Canis lupus familiaris: one gene and its partners. The protein of the gene in region 2 purifies or fractionates together with the protein of the main gene of each other region. This does not show direct contact. Links are inferred from orthologs where the notes say so. Each region holds a gene or a part of one and is shown on either strand. Other genes may lie near its edges. The genes, in order: BCL11A, MTA1 and HIC1.

The links.
Region 1: the proteins of MTA1 (region 2) and BCL11A purify together in Homo sapiens (affinity purification with mass spectrometry; 4 studies listed by BioGRID and IntAct, counting the BioPlex papers as one, with this or other methods). This does not show direct contact. The link is inferred for Canis lupus familiaris from reciprocal best matches to the Homo sapiens genes MTA1 and BCL11A.
Region 3: the proteins of MTA1 (region 2) and HIC1 purify together in Homo sapiens (affinity purification with western blotting; 3 studies listed by BioGRID). This does not show direct contact. The link is inferred for Canis lupus familiaris from reciprocal best matches to the Homo sapiens genes MTA1 and HIC1.

The regions. Positions count from the first base shown.
Region 1 is NC_049231.1:61,971,723-61,975,906, forward strand, and holds the start of BCL11A (B-cell lymphoma/leukemia 11A), read right to left. Parts: upstream 2,782-4,184; 5' UTR 2,621-2,781; coding exon 2,566-2,620; intron 1-2,565. UniProt on the Homo sapiens protein: Transcription factor. Associated with the BAF SWI/SNF chromatin remodeling complex. Binds to the 5'-TGACCA-3' sequence motif in regulatory regions of target genes, including a distal promoter of the HBG1 hemoglobin subunit gamma-1 gene.
Region 2 is NC_049229.1:73,159,689-73,163,872, reverse strand, and holds the start of MTA1 (metastasis-associated protein MTA1), read right to left. Parts: upstream 2,628-4,184; 5' UTR 2,485-2,627; coding exon 2,073-2,484; intron 1,612-2,072; coding exon 1,544-1,611; intron 1-1,543. UniProt on the Homo sapiens protein: Transcriptional coregulator which can act as both a transcriptional corepressor and coactivator. Acts as a component of the histone deacetylase NuRD complex which participates in the remodeling of chromatin.
Region 3 is NC_049230.1:46,105,292-46,109,419, forward strand, and holds the start of HIC1 (hypermethylated in cancer 1 protein), read left to right. Parts: upstream 1-1,242; 5' UTR 1,243-1,453; coding exon 1,454-1,490; intron 1,491-1,833; coding exon 1,834-3,995; 3' UTR 3,996-4,128. UniProt on the Homo sapiens protein: Transcriptional repressor. Recognizes and binds to the consensus sequence '5-[CG]NG[CG]GGGCA[CA]CC-3'. May act as a tumor suppressor. Involved in development of head, face, limbs and ventral body wall.

The DNA of each region.
Region 1 (4,184 bases), on a different chromosome or scaffold from region 2:
GGGGACAGGGGAGCAGCCCGGGCTGCACGCCTGCGCTCGTCCTTTGCGCCCCCAGTGCATCCTTCCGAAGAAGGGCCCGGCTTTCCCGAGTCCTGCGAACACTGCCCTTCCTTCCCGCCGGTACCTGGCCGGGCTGTAACTTCACACCGCCGCGCGCCGCGTCTGCTCCGCATCCGGCGCGGCCGGGGGAGTGGGGGGCGGGGGAGAGCGACGAGGGAGGGATGCGCGGGGGTGGGGAGAGGGAGGGCCCCGCAACGTGCCGGGGCGGGGGAGCTTCCGAAGTGTGTGACAAGTTCCAGGGCCTAGTGAAAAATCCAACTCCCTACGCGCAACAGCACCCCCCCCCCCGTCAACCCTTTAATAAATACAAAAACTGGGTATAGGTGGTGTTTTTAAATTGCATCGAAAATTAAAACAAGGGGCACGAATGAGGAGGGGAAGGGATGTGGGCCCTCTCAAGCCTTTCTCTGCCCCGCTGCCAAACTTTCCGAAGTGCCCACCGCCCGCCTTCCCAGACGCACTGTTAGCCAGGACGCAGTAACCCGTCCACCAACCCCATAAAGACTCAGAAGGACCGCCGCCCCCCCTCCCAGCTCTGACCGAGACAGGCCCCGGTTAGAGGGCAGGAACTCAGAGTGGGGTGCACGGAGTCCGGGGATCCAGCACTCCCAAAACACACACTTGCACATACTACTGTGCCCACCTCCCCAAATCCCCCCCCCCAAAACCGGCTCACCGCCCCCCCCACACACACCTCCCTGCACACACACACCTGGCCTGGCAGCGATCGGGAGGCGGGGGGGGGGGGGTGCTGGTTGGCCAGACCTGGTGGGAGGGGGGCAGAGAAAGCACGTGGTGACCTCCCCGCGGTCCGGAGCTGAGGACAAGAACCTCGGGGGGCGGGGGAGGGGGCTGCAGACGCGCTTTTTCAGCTGCTTTGAAAAATAAAAATGCTTCGCAAAGCCGAGTTTCTCCCCCGCCGAGTTCCCGGTGCGGTGGGCTGGGAGGAGGTCTGGGCATTGTGCTGGGGGCGAGCGCGGACCGTGGACCCGGCTGGCGCGGAGTCGCGGCACGGCCTGCCGCTGTGCGGGCGGGCGGACGGCTGGCGCGGGGTGGGCGATCCCGAGCAGGGCGGGGGCGCGGCGAGGCCCGGCGAGGCCCGGGCGAGGCCCGGCCACCGCCGCCGCCCGCTCCCGGGCTGCCGCGCCGCGCTCGGTCCTCTGTCTGTTTGTTGGCAGGAGGCTCCCGCACACGCGGTGCTTGTAAACATTCAGACACGAGATTTTTCCCAATCAAAATCCACTTCCACTTTTTTTGAAAATCTTCCAAAAAATAGTAAGAGGAGGGAGTTCCTCGCTCCCTCTCCACGCCGCCGGCGCTCTAAGTTTGCAACTAAAGGGGTTTTGGGGAAGGGGGTAATTGTATTTTTCCCCCTCTAATAGAGATGGAGATTTTTGCAGGGGGGGGTGGGGTGGGGTGGGGTGGGGGAGTCCAAGAGGAGAGCGTTGCAGAAAACGGCCGGCCGAGCGTTTGGGGCTTCTGTTGGGGGGCAAGAAATTGTACGTCCTCTTGCCTCGTTTTATTTTTGGTTTTTATTTTTATTTTATTTTTCACATCTCTTCGCCGCCGCGGAGGTTCGGCCGGGAGGGGCGGGCGGCGGGGACCCAGGCGGCGGCGGCCCGAGCGCCCTCCCTCCGTCTCCCGCTCGCCCGGGGCCCTTGCTCCTGCCCTGCGGCGGCGGCGGCGCGGAAGGGCAGGCGCGAGGAGCCGGCACAAAAGGCAGCGGGACAAACACCCACCTCGGGCCGGAACAAAAGGCGGCAGCGGCGGCCGAGCCTCCCGTGCTTCCCGGTCTCCAGGCTCCCCCGGCCGCCGCGGCCCCTCTCCACACTCGGCAGGCTCCCGAGCGCCGGGGGGCCCCCTCCCACAATCCCACTTTCTCACTATTGTGGAGATGACTACTTTCCTCCTGGTGCACACTTGACCGTGAGCGCGCTGCTGTCCGAGGGCCAGTCTCACCTCTTTTCTCCCAGGGAATTGTTTTTTTGGCTTGGGCTCCCTCCTCCCGCCCCGTTTTCCTTCCTTCGGTGAGTGGAAGCAACCCCCTTTCCCCCCCCCCCTCACCCCTCCAGCTCCCTCCTCTAGGTTTGCCCGAGAGTTGTTCGCATCCAAAGCATTGTTCATTATTTTGCAAAATTGGAGGGGAAATCATTGCATTCCTTTTCGAAAAGCGAAATAAAGCGGCGGAGAGCATGAAAGAGGAGGAGTCACATTTTTGTAAATTAAATAAAAATTAAAAGGTGCGTGCTATCCCAAAAGTGTATCTACGGCTGCGGTTCGGGATAGGATGAGGTTTGGTTTTTGTTTGTTTGGGGTTTTGTTTGTTTGGTTTTTTTTTTTTTTTTTCCTCCCTTTAAGCTCTTTTATCCCGACTCTCGGAGGTTCGTCTCGTGAAAAAATTAAAAAATGCATGCACACACCCCTCTCTCCCCCTCGCTCTTACTTCTCGTCCTGCGCGCTCTCGTGATTATTAATAATTATTATTACTATTATTGGGTTACTTACGCGAGAATTCCCGTTTGCTTAAGTGCTGGGGTTTGCCTTGCTTGCGGCGAGACATGGTGGGCTGCGGGGCGGGCGGCGGCGGCGGCGGCGGCGGCGGCGGGCGGACGACGGCTCGGTTCACATCGGGAGAGCCGGGTTAGAAAGAAGGAGACTCCAGAGAAAATATCTTCATCAGTGCCTTTTGACATCCAAAATAAATTAGAAATAATACAAAGATGGCGCAGGGAAGATGAATTGTGGGAGAGCCGTCATGGCTTTTTTTTTTTTTTTAAGCAAAAAAAAAAAAAAAAGAGAGAGAGAGAGAGAGAGAGGAGAGAGATAGAGGGAGAGAGAGAGAGAGAGAGAGAGAGAGAGATGAAAAAAATGGCAAAAGCCCCCCTGAGCTGCAAGTTCAAGTGCGGACGTGACGTCCCTGCGAACTTGAACGTCAGGAGTCTGGATGGACAGAGACACACAAAACATGGGCAGGGCGAGCAGGAGAGAAGGGGAGGAGGGAAGGGGAAGCTCACACCAATGGACACACATCAGGGGCTGGACATGAAAAAGAGACCAGGACAAGCCAATGGCCAGTGCGGGGCGGGGGAGGTGCGGGGCGGGGGGCTCCGCAGACGCCAGACGCGGCCCCCGGGGGAGGGGCGGGGGGGGGAGGGGAGGGGGCGCCGGGGCCGCGGGCTCACCAGTGGCCGCAGCCAGCGCCGTGGCGGCAGCGTGGCCGGGAGAGAAGAAAGGGGCGGCGGGGGTGGGGGGGGGGGCAAGACGTGCTCTCTGCTCACCCCCCCCCAACCCGGACACGGATCCTAAAATGAAAGATTACTTAAAAAAAAAAAAAAAAAAAAAAAAAGGCAAGAGTGTACGGCGAGGCTGCAGCCCGGGTCCCGGGGAGCGCGGGCGGAGGGAAGGCAGGTAGAGTTACTCCCGGACACCCTCCTCCGGGCGCACACCCACCTCCCCTCCCCGCCGCGCTCGCTCCCCGCGTGCGGACGCCCGGGGCCGCGGTGGGAGCCCCGAGCCCGGGGCTGCGCTCGGGAAACTTTGCCTGCGGAGAGGCTGGCAAAGAAAAATCACCCGAAGTTGAGAGCTGAGCCTCCAAGTTGCAGCTCCGCAGCGGGCGCGGGGAGGCGGGAGGACGCGCGCGGCAAAACCCAGTGCAGCCCAAGTTTAGAGGGTTGCGGGTCCGGAAAGGCAGCCCCGGGGCCTCCGGGTGCCCGGCCAGGCTGGGTGCAAGGGCGAGGGAGACGGCGCAGGCCAGGGCGGGAGGGCACCCCCAAGGCCGGGCCCGGCGGCGGAGGGGGGAGGCCGGGGGGCGGCGGGGGGGCGCCGGGCAGCTGGGATCTGGGCGCCCTGACAAGCGATTGGGTCCGAATGGAACTGGAAGCACGCACCCGAGGCTCCCAAGGGTCGCGGCGAGGGAGGCCAAGGAATAAAGACCGAGGAGCCCGCCGCGGGGCCCGTTGCAGCCCCCGGAGGGGAGCGCCGGGGCCCGGGGCGGGGAAGGCGCGGAGGCCGCGGGCCGGAGGACAAAGCACGCGCAGCCCCGGGAGGGAGTTGCCGTCCCTGGGAACGTGCTCCCGGCGCCGCGGGAGGTCCTCCGGCCGGGTCCCCGGGACGGACACACCCCC
Region 2 (4,184 bases):
GCTCAGCGGGGGTCTGCGCGGGGCTCCCCGCTGGCGCCCTCCTTGGAACCACAGGGGCTGGAGCAAGCAGTCGGTGCCCCTGCCCCGCCGGCCCCCGGGGAGGCCGCCAGCGCCCAGACGCCTTCCAGGACCTCCGAAGAGCTCAGCAGACACGAGAGAGGTGGGGGGGCGGGGAGCGCCGGGTGACCAGCCGGGAGCTCAGGGGCCGCAGCCAGCTGCCGCCCCCGCCCTGCGCCAGAGCTGCGCCCAGACGAGCCCCGACTTCCGGGGACTTGACCCTCGGGGCCGTTTCTCCTGTGCCCAAGGGGCCCTGGGGGCCTGGGGGCTCCGGGCAGGGTGGCCCCAGCAGGGAAGGGCCCACAAAACGAGCTCCCAGCGGCCCCAGCCGGGACTGCCCCGGGTCCCCGGGCAGCAGGGGAGGCGGGCTGCGGGGGCCAGAGGGTCCCTCCCGCCCCACCCCAGTACTGAAGGGGGCTGCAGGCTCACACGCAGACGCCCATCGACCCCACCCCGAGCGCTCCAATGGCGGGCTGTGGCCACTGCCGTGCAGACCCGTCACCTGCAGGCTGCCACAGGTGGTGCCACCTGCCCTCTCCACGTCACAGCCAAAGCGAGGGGCAGGGGCTGTGCTGGCCCCACCCGAGACCCACTGCCCGCGGCCAGCCCAGCAGTGGGCCCCCGGCTCCCCCGCCACGCTCCCCACCGCTCACTGGAGTCGCGGGCCCGACCCCATGTGTTCCCGAGCCGATGCCCACCCCGTGCCCTGCTGGCCCTGCTGCCCGGGCGGGCCGTGGGCAGCTTCCCCCAGCAAGCACCCGCGGGAGGTGGCCCCACAGCGTCCTGGTCACTGCCCTCGCCCTGCCGCGTCCAGACCTGGCCCAGCCTCCCAGGAGCTGCCAGGCTGCAAGGACCAGCCCCACACGCTGTGTGCAGCGGAGGCCTGGGGGCACCCCCTCCCCCGGGCAGATGCTGCGCAGGAGTCTCGGGAACGGGGGCACAGGGGTCGGGGCTCGGCTGCCACCAGTCTGCTCCGTGGAGCACCAGCACCCCGACCTCCGCCCCCAGCCCGCCGGTCCCAAGGATGCCCAGCCACGCTGCCGTGCTCGGGGTCCAGGAGAGCAGCCCTTGAGGACTGGCCTCACGGAGCACAGCCAGTCGGGGACAACAGGTGCTCCGGGGCCAGGGACTCCACGGCCGCAGGGACACTCCTGCCTCTCCCCAGTGCTGCCGGGGGCGCCTCAGAGCGGGAGGCTGGCGGGAGGGGGGGCGGCTGCGAGGGCCCAGAGCGGGGCGGCAGGGGCCTGAGTGAGCCGGGAAGAGGCAGAGGCAGCAGGTGGGCGGGGAGACCCCGGCCAGGGGGACCCCACAGGGCGCCCCTGTCCCACAGAGCACACCCGCCACAGGGACCCCACGGAGAGCTCTCCAAGGAGAAGGACCCAGGTGTAGGCGTGTGGCACGGGAACAAAGCCACCGAAGGGTCTGGGGCCGGCCCTGAAGCCCCGGGCGGCCCCCCCCCACCACGCGCCCCCCCCCATGCACGTACCTTGTTGAGCTCCTCGATCCTGCGAATCAGGTACGGGTTGCTGGAGGAGTTCTCAAAATAGACGTAGTCTGCAAACAGGAACAGAGTGCGTCACCCCGCAGCACTGAGCCCGGGGACCAGGGGAGCCCCGACCCCCCTCACACCCGCGCCCAGTTCTAGGGGCCAGGGAACAGGAGGGAACGAAGGACACGGTGCCCCTGCCACCTTAGTGCACAGACAGGTACCCAGACATGTTGGTGGGTGCCGGGCACGGGTCCTAGAGGACGGAGGGGGCTGTCCCGGGCAGAGGGTCCACACGCCCCGCCCCCTGCCCCGCGCAGACGCTGTGGGAGCCGGACTGCAGCTTCCCCCAGGACAGCTTCCGAGGGGCTGCCGGGCGCCTGCACCTGCCCCCCCACCCCACGCGCCCCGGGCAGGGAACGGAGGAGGCCGGGGCTCCCTGGGCAGAGGCAGGGCTCTCGGGGGTGCGGACGGGGTCAGGTGCCAGAGGAACGAGGTCCCGCCACCGCCCGCCAGGTCCCCAGCACACCATGTGGGCACCAGCTCGCCTCCGGCTCCAGAGCAGCCTGGGATCGGTCCCCAGGAGGCTGGCAGGCACCCGGGATTTCCCAAGAGGCCCACGGGGGCGGCTGGCCGGCTCCCACGGAGCCCAGGCCAGCCGGGAGGCCACCCAGCTGCCAGCCTGGCCGCCGCCGTGATATAGCAGGTAGCTCGGGGCAGCTGCGGGTGACTCGGTGCCAGGACGAGGCCAGGCTGCAGTCCCCAGCAGGGGTGCCCCGCGCTGTCCCCCGTGCCCCAGGGAAGGCCTGCAAGAGGCCCGTGTCAGCCGGGACACAGCCAAAGGGCCACTCGGAGCACAGATCTTGCCCCAGGACCCAGGCCAGCTCCGTCCTCTCAAGAGGTCCTACCGCTCCACCGTGTGGAGAGGCCCCAGCAAGCATCTGGCACCTGCTGCTGCTGTGTACCTGCTGCAGGCACCTGAGGGGGCTCACCTGTGCTTGGGGGGGGGCGCTCACCTGTGCTGCAGAGGAGAGCTCACCTATGCTGCAGGGAGATGGGGGCGCTCACCTATGCTGCTGCGGGAGGCTCACCCGTGCTGCAGGAGAGGCTCACTATGCTGGGGGGTCCTCACCTATACTGTAGGAGGGAGCGCACCTGTGCTGCTGGGGGGGGCTCACCTGTGCTGCCCGAGGCCACAGCCGGATGGGACGCGGCCATGGGCACCCACAGAGCTCCACGGAACGAAAGAGCAACAGCACTAACAGCCCAGAGGGAACAGGGCTGCCGGGCTCAGAGGGCCACGCTCGCGGGCTGGGGGGGAAGAGAGCTCTACGGGAGGGGGCCATCGACGGGCTCGAGGTCGGCTTGACGGCAGTGGAAACACTCTGAACACAGACCGCGGCCACACCGTACGCCTCGTGAGCGGGTGAATTTTATCACACGTGAATTGTCGCTCAAAAGAGCAGTTTTAATATAAAGCCCTATTGGTCTTAAAGCTTTCATCCAAAGAAACCAAAAAACCAATTAAATCAAAGCTGTCGGGGATCCCTGGGTGGCTCAGCGGTTTAGCGCTGCCTTTGGCCCCGGGCGTGGTCCTGGAGCCCCGGGATCGAGTCCTGCATCGGGCTCCCTGCGTGGAGCCTGCTTCTCCCTCTGTGTCTGTCCCTCTCTGTGTCTCTCATGAATAAATAAGTAAAAAATCTATTTTAAAAAAAAATAAGTAAATAAACCAAAGCTGTTATTCACATGCAGTCTACACTGGACACGACCCAGGAGGAGCCCCACCGGCCCTGCATGCGGCTCTGAGGATCCCTGCTCAGGCAGGGGGCTGGGGGGCACGGGGCTGCGTCCCAGCCGCCAGTTGCACCCCTGCATGTGCTCCCCACAATTCAGACCTGCACGCCTGAGACGGGTGGGTTAAGCTTTGGTAGATGGGAAAACACGCAAAGCAAAAAGATGGTAGATGATGAGCAAAAACCAGCATAATGAGGAAAAATGAACTCGTGTAAACAGCCAGTAAGGGGATCAACCTCAGGCCAGGGTGACAAAGGAAAGACCCGGAGGGTGAGTGAGCGAGAGCTGGGTAGGAGGGGGCTCCCGGCGCCGCTGCCTGACGGCTCAGGTGACACGGGGCCCGCGCTGGGCAGACGCAGACCCCCGAGCTCCCTGCAGACAAACAGGCAACCCTGTGCCCTAAAGAAATCAGGCTCGGGCAGCCCGGGGGGCTCAGCGGCTTAGCTCCACCTTCAGCCCAGGGCGTGATCCCGGGGACCTGGAATCGAGTCCCACGTCGGGCTCCCTGCGTGGAGCCTGCTTCTCCCTCTGCCTGGGTCTCTGCCTCTCTCTGTGTCTCTCATGAATAAATTAAATAAAATCTTAAAAAAAAAAAAAATCAGGCTCAGGGGCACCGTGGTGGGCTGAGAGTCTGCCTTTGGCTCAGGTCACGATCCTGGGGCCCCGGGGTCAAGCCCCACGTCGGGGTCCACGCTCAGCCTGGAGCCTGCTTCTGCTTCTCTCTCCCTTTCCCTCTCCCTGTGTTCTCTCTCTCTTTATTTTTATTTCTTTTTAATTTTTTTTTTATTTATTTATGATAGTCACAGAGAGAGAGAGAGGCAGAGACACAGGCAGAGGGAGAAGCAGG
Region 3 (4,128 bases), on a different chromosome or scaffold from region 2:
ACGGGGGCACCTCTGGGAGAGTGAGCCTGCGAATACAGGCCTCTCCCGGGTCCGGCTCCGGCTCCGGCTCCGGCTCCACATCTGTGAGCCTCCAGCCCAACCCAGGTGCGCGGTAGGGAGGTCGCGACTGTGTCGCGTAAAGCCCCGCACGGCCGCGAGGTGGCGCCATAGCTGCAGCAGCGCGTGCCGGCCCGGGCCGCTCCAGATAAGAGTGTGCGGAAAGCGCGGCGGGGCTGAGACGCGACCAGGACGCGGGGAGGACGGACCAGCAGGACAGACCGACCGGGGCCCCGGCGGGCGGAGGGCAGCACAGCCACGTCCCCCCTGGATCCGCCGGCAGCCGGGCCCGGGGCTTCCGACATGCCCCCCAGGTGGGTCCTCAACCTCGGGACCAGAAGGGACAGGGGATCCGGACGGCCCGGTCCTTACGCGCTGGCCGCCTCGGGCGCATCCTTCGGCCTGGGCGCCCCAACGCGGCTGGCGTCCAGGACTCCGGGTGTCGCCCCTAGAGGACTCGGGACCGCCGGGCCGCTGCTCCGCGCCGAGTTCACGGCCGGGGTCAGCGGCCCGGGCCCGACTCTGCCCGCACATGGGCCGGAGAGGCGAAGGGAAGGGAAGGGGAGCTGGCGGGCGGGGCTGGCAGGGGCGCTGCCCTGGCACAGCTCGGCGCCTGGCAGCGGGGCGGGTGGGGCGCCGGCTGGGAGCTGCCACCGCCACGGGCAGGGAAGCCGGGTCGGGTTGCGGCCGCAGGTAACGGGCCGCGAGGCCCTGCGGGCCAGGAGGGGAGCAGGGTGGGCCGGCGAACGAGCGGGCAGGGGAGCGCCGAGCTCCGCTCAGGCCCCAGGGCCGCCTGGCTGCCGAAATTGGGAGCCGAGAGGAAAAGCTGGGAGTCGAGGGACTGGGGCTGGCCCGCTTCTCCCGGCCTGTCTGAAGTTGGGAAACTTTTCCCCAAGTTTGGGGCGGCGGAGTTCCCGTGGAGAAGGGGCCGAAGGGAGCTGGGGAGGGAGGCGCCGGGGCCCGCGAATGCAGAGCTGAGGCCGAGACCGGGGCCAGGACGCGGGTGGGGCGCAGGCCAGGGTCAGGGCCGCAGCCGGCTGTGCGCCGTGCCCGCCCGGGGCGCTGCCCCCTCCCTCCCCTGGGAGCTGCGTGGCTCCCCCCTCCCCCCCACCTGCTTCCTGCCTCAGCCTCCTGCCCCGATATAACGCCCTCCCCGCGCCGGGGCCGGCCTTCGTGTTCTGCCGCCACCGCAGCCTCTGCCTCCGCTCCCCGCGCCGCGGCCGCGCCCGGGCCCCAACTGAAGGCCTGACAGCCCCCGGGCAGGGCGGCGCCACGGCGGGCACCGCGCACCCCTCCACGGGATCACTTCCCCCAGCTGGGGCAACTTCTCCCGAGGCGGGAGGCGCTTTTTACTCGGCTCCCTTGTATCCCAATTGGGCAGACTTCTCAGCCCTGAATGACTTTTCCTGAAGCGGACATTTTCCTCAAATCCGGTAACTGTCTCCGAAGGGGTCACTTCCCCCAAACAGTGTTCTCCTTCGGAAGTCCCCAGACCCCAGCCTGTGTGCCCGGTGCCAGCCGGGCCTGGGCGAGCGGTCCAGCCTGGCCTCCTCTCCACCAGCCACTCGCCTATGCCTTCTGGTGCAGGCCACCGGCCCAGGCTTCCACACCAGGAGGCCGCCGACCCCTCTGCCAGCGCCTAGGCCGCCGCGCGCGATGCCCCAGCCGAGCTGAGGGGAAGGGGAAGTTGGGGGGAGAAGCGCCGGGTTGGATCCTGGCAGCGAGGGCTCGAGGGCTCGGGTGAGGCTCTGACCCGGCTGCGGTGTGTCCCTGCAGGAGAGTGTGCTGGGCAGACGATGCTGGACACGATGGAGGCGCCGGGCCACTCGAGGCAGCTGCTGCTGCAGCTCAACAACCAGCGCACCAAGGGGTTCTTGTGCGACGTGATCATCGTGGTGCAGAACGCCCTCTTCCGCGCGCACAAGAACGTGCTGGCGGCCAGCAGCGCCTACCTCAAGTCCTTGGTGGTGCATGACAACCTGCTCAACCTGGACCATGACATGGTGAGCCCGGCGGTGTTCCGCCTGGTGCTGGACTTCATCTACACCGGCCGCCTGGCTGATGGCGCAGAGGCGGCGGCGGCGGCGGCCGTGGCCCCGGGGGCTGAGCCGAGCCTGGGCGCCGTGCTGGCCGCCGCCAGCTACCTGCAGATCCCCGACCTCGTGGCGCTGTGTAAGAAGCGCCTCAAGCGCCACGGCAAGTACTGCCACCTGCGGGGCGGCGGCGGCGGCGGCGGCGGCTACGCACCCTACGGGAGGCCGGGCCGGGGCCTTCGGGCCGCCACGCCCGTCATCCAGGCTTGCTACTCGTCCCCGGCTGGGCCTCCGCCGCCGCCCTCGGGCGAGCCGTCTTCGGGCCCCGAGGCCGCTGTGAACACCCACTGCGCGGAGCTGTACGCCTCGGGCCCCGGCCCGGCCTCCGCACTCTGCGCCCCGGAGCGCCGCTGCTCCCCGCTCTGCGGCCTGGACCTGTCCAAGAAGAGCCCGCCGGGCTCCGCGCCTCCTGAGCGGCCGCCGGGCGAGCGCGACCTGCCCTCCCGCCCAGACAGCCCTCCCAGTGCCGGCCCCGCTGCCTACAAGGAGCCACAGCTCGCCCTGCCGCCGCTGCCGCCGCTGCCCTTCCAGAAGCTGGAGGAGGCCGTACCGCCGCCGGACCCGTTCCGTGGCGGCGGCGGCAGCCCGGGACCCGAGCCCCCGGGCCGCCCCGACGGGCCCAGCCTCCTCTACCGCTGGATGAAGCACGAGCCAGGCCTGGGCAGTTACGGCGACGAGCTGGGCCGGGAGCGCGGCTCCCCCAGCGAGCGCTGTGAGGAGCGCGGCGGGGACCCAGCCGCCTCGCCCGGGGTACCCCCGCTGGGCCTGGCGCCGCCGCGCTACCAGGGCAGCCTGGACGGGCCAGGCGCGGGCGGCGACGGCGACGACTACAAGAGCAGCAGCGAGGAGACAGGCAGCAGCGAGGACCCCAGCCCTCCAGGCGGCCACCTCGAGGGCTACCCGTGCCCGCACCTGGCTTACGGCGAGCCCGAGAGCTTCGGCGACAACCTGTACGTGTGCATCCCGTGCGGCAAGGGCTTCCCCAGCTCGGAGCAGCTGAATGCACACGTGGAAGCTCACGTGGAGGAGGAGGAGGCGCTGTATGGCAGGGCCGAGGCGGCCGAGGTAGCCGCGGGGGCCGCCGGCTTGGGGCCCCCTTTTGGAGGCAGTGGGGACAAGGTCGCTGGGGCTCCGGGCGGCCTGGGCGAGCTGCTGCGGCCGTACCGCTGCGCGTCGTGCGACAAGAGCTACAAGGACCCGGCCACGCTGCGGCAGCACGAGAAGACGCACTGGTTGACCCGGCCCTATCCGTGCACCATCTGCGGGAAGAAGTTCACGCAGCGCGGAACCATGACGCGCCACATGCGCAGCCACCTGGGTCTCAAGCCCTTCGCGTGCGACGCGTGCGGCATGCGCTTCACGCGCCAGTACCGCCTCACCGAGCACATGCGCATACACTCGGGCGAGAAGCCCTACGAGTGCCAGGTGTGCGGCGGCAAGTTCGCGCAGCAACGCAACCTCATCAGCCACATGAAGATGCACGCCGTGGGTGGCGCGGCAGGCGCAGCTGGGGCTCTGGCGGGGTTGGGGGGGCTACCCGGCGTCCCCGGCCCCGACGGCAAGGGCAAGCTCGACTTCCCCGAGGGCGTCTTTGCTGTGGCCCGACTCACGGCAGAACAGCTGAGCCTGAAGCAGCAGGACAAGGCAGCCGCGGCCGAGCTGCTGGCGCAGACCACGCACTTCCTGCACGACCCCAAGGTGGCGCTCGAGAGCCTCTACCCGCTGGCCAAGTTCACCGCGGAGCTGGGCCTCAGCCCGGACAAGGCGGCCGAGGTGCTGAGCCAGGGAGCGCACCTGGCCGCGGGACCCGACGGCCGGACCATCGACCGTTTTTCCCCCACCTAGAGCGCCTCCTGCCGGCCCGCCTCGTCGCCGCCGCGTGGCCCCGGCCCGCGTCCCCGGGGAACGGCGGTGGCAGCGCGAGCAGGCACCCCGCGCCCGGACAACTGTAGTAGCAGCGGCAGCATCGCCGCAGTGG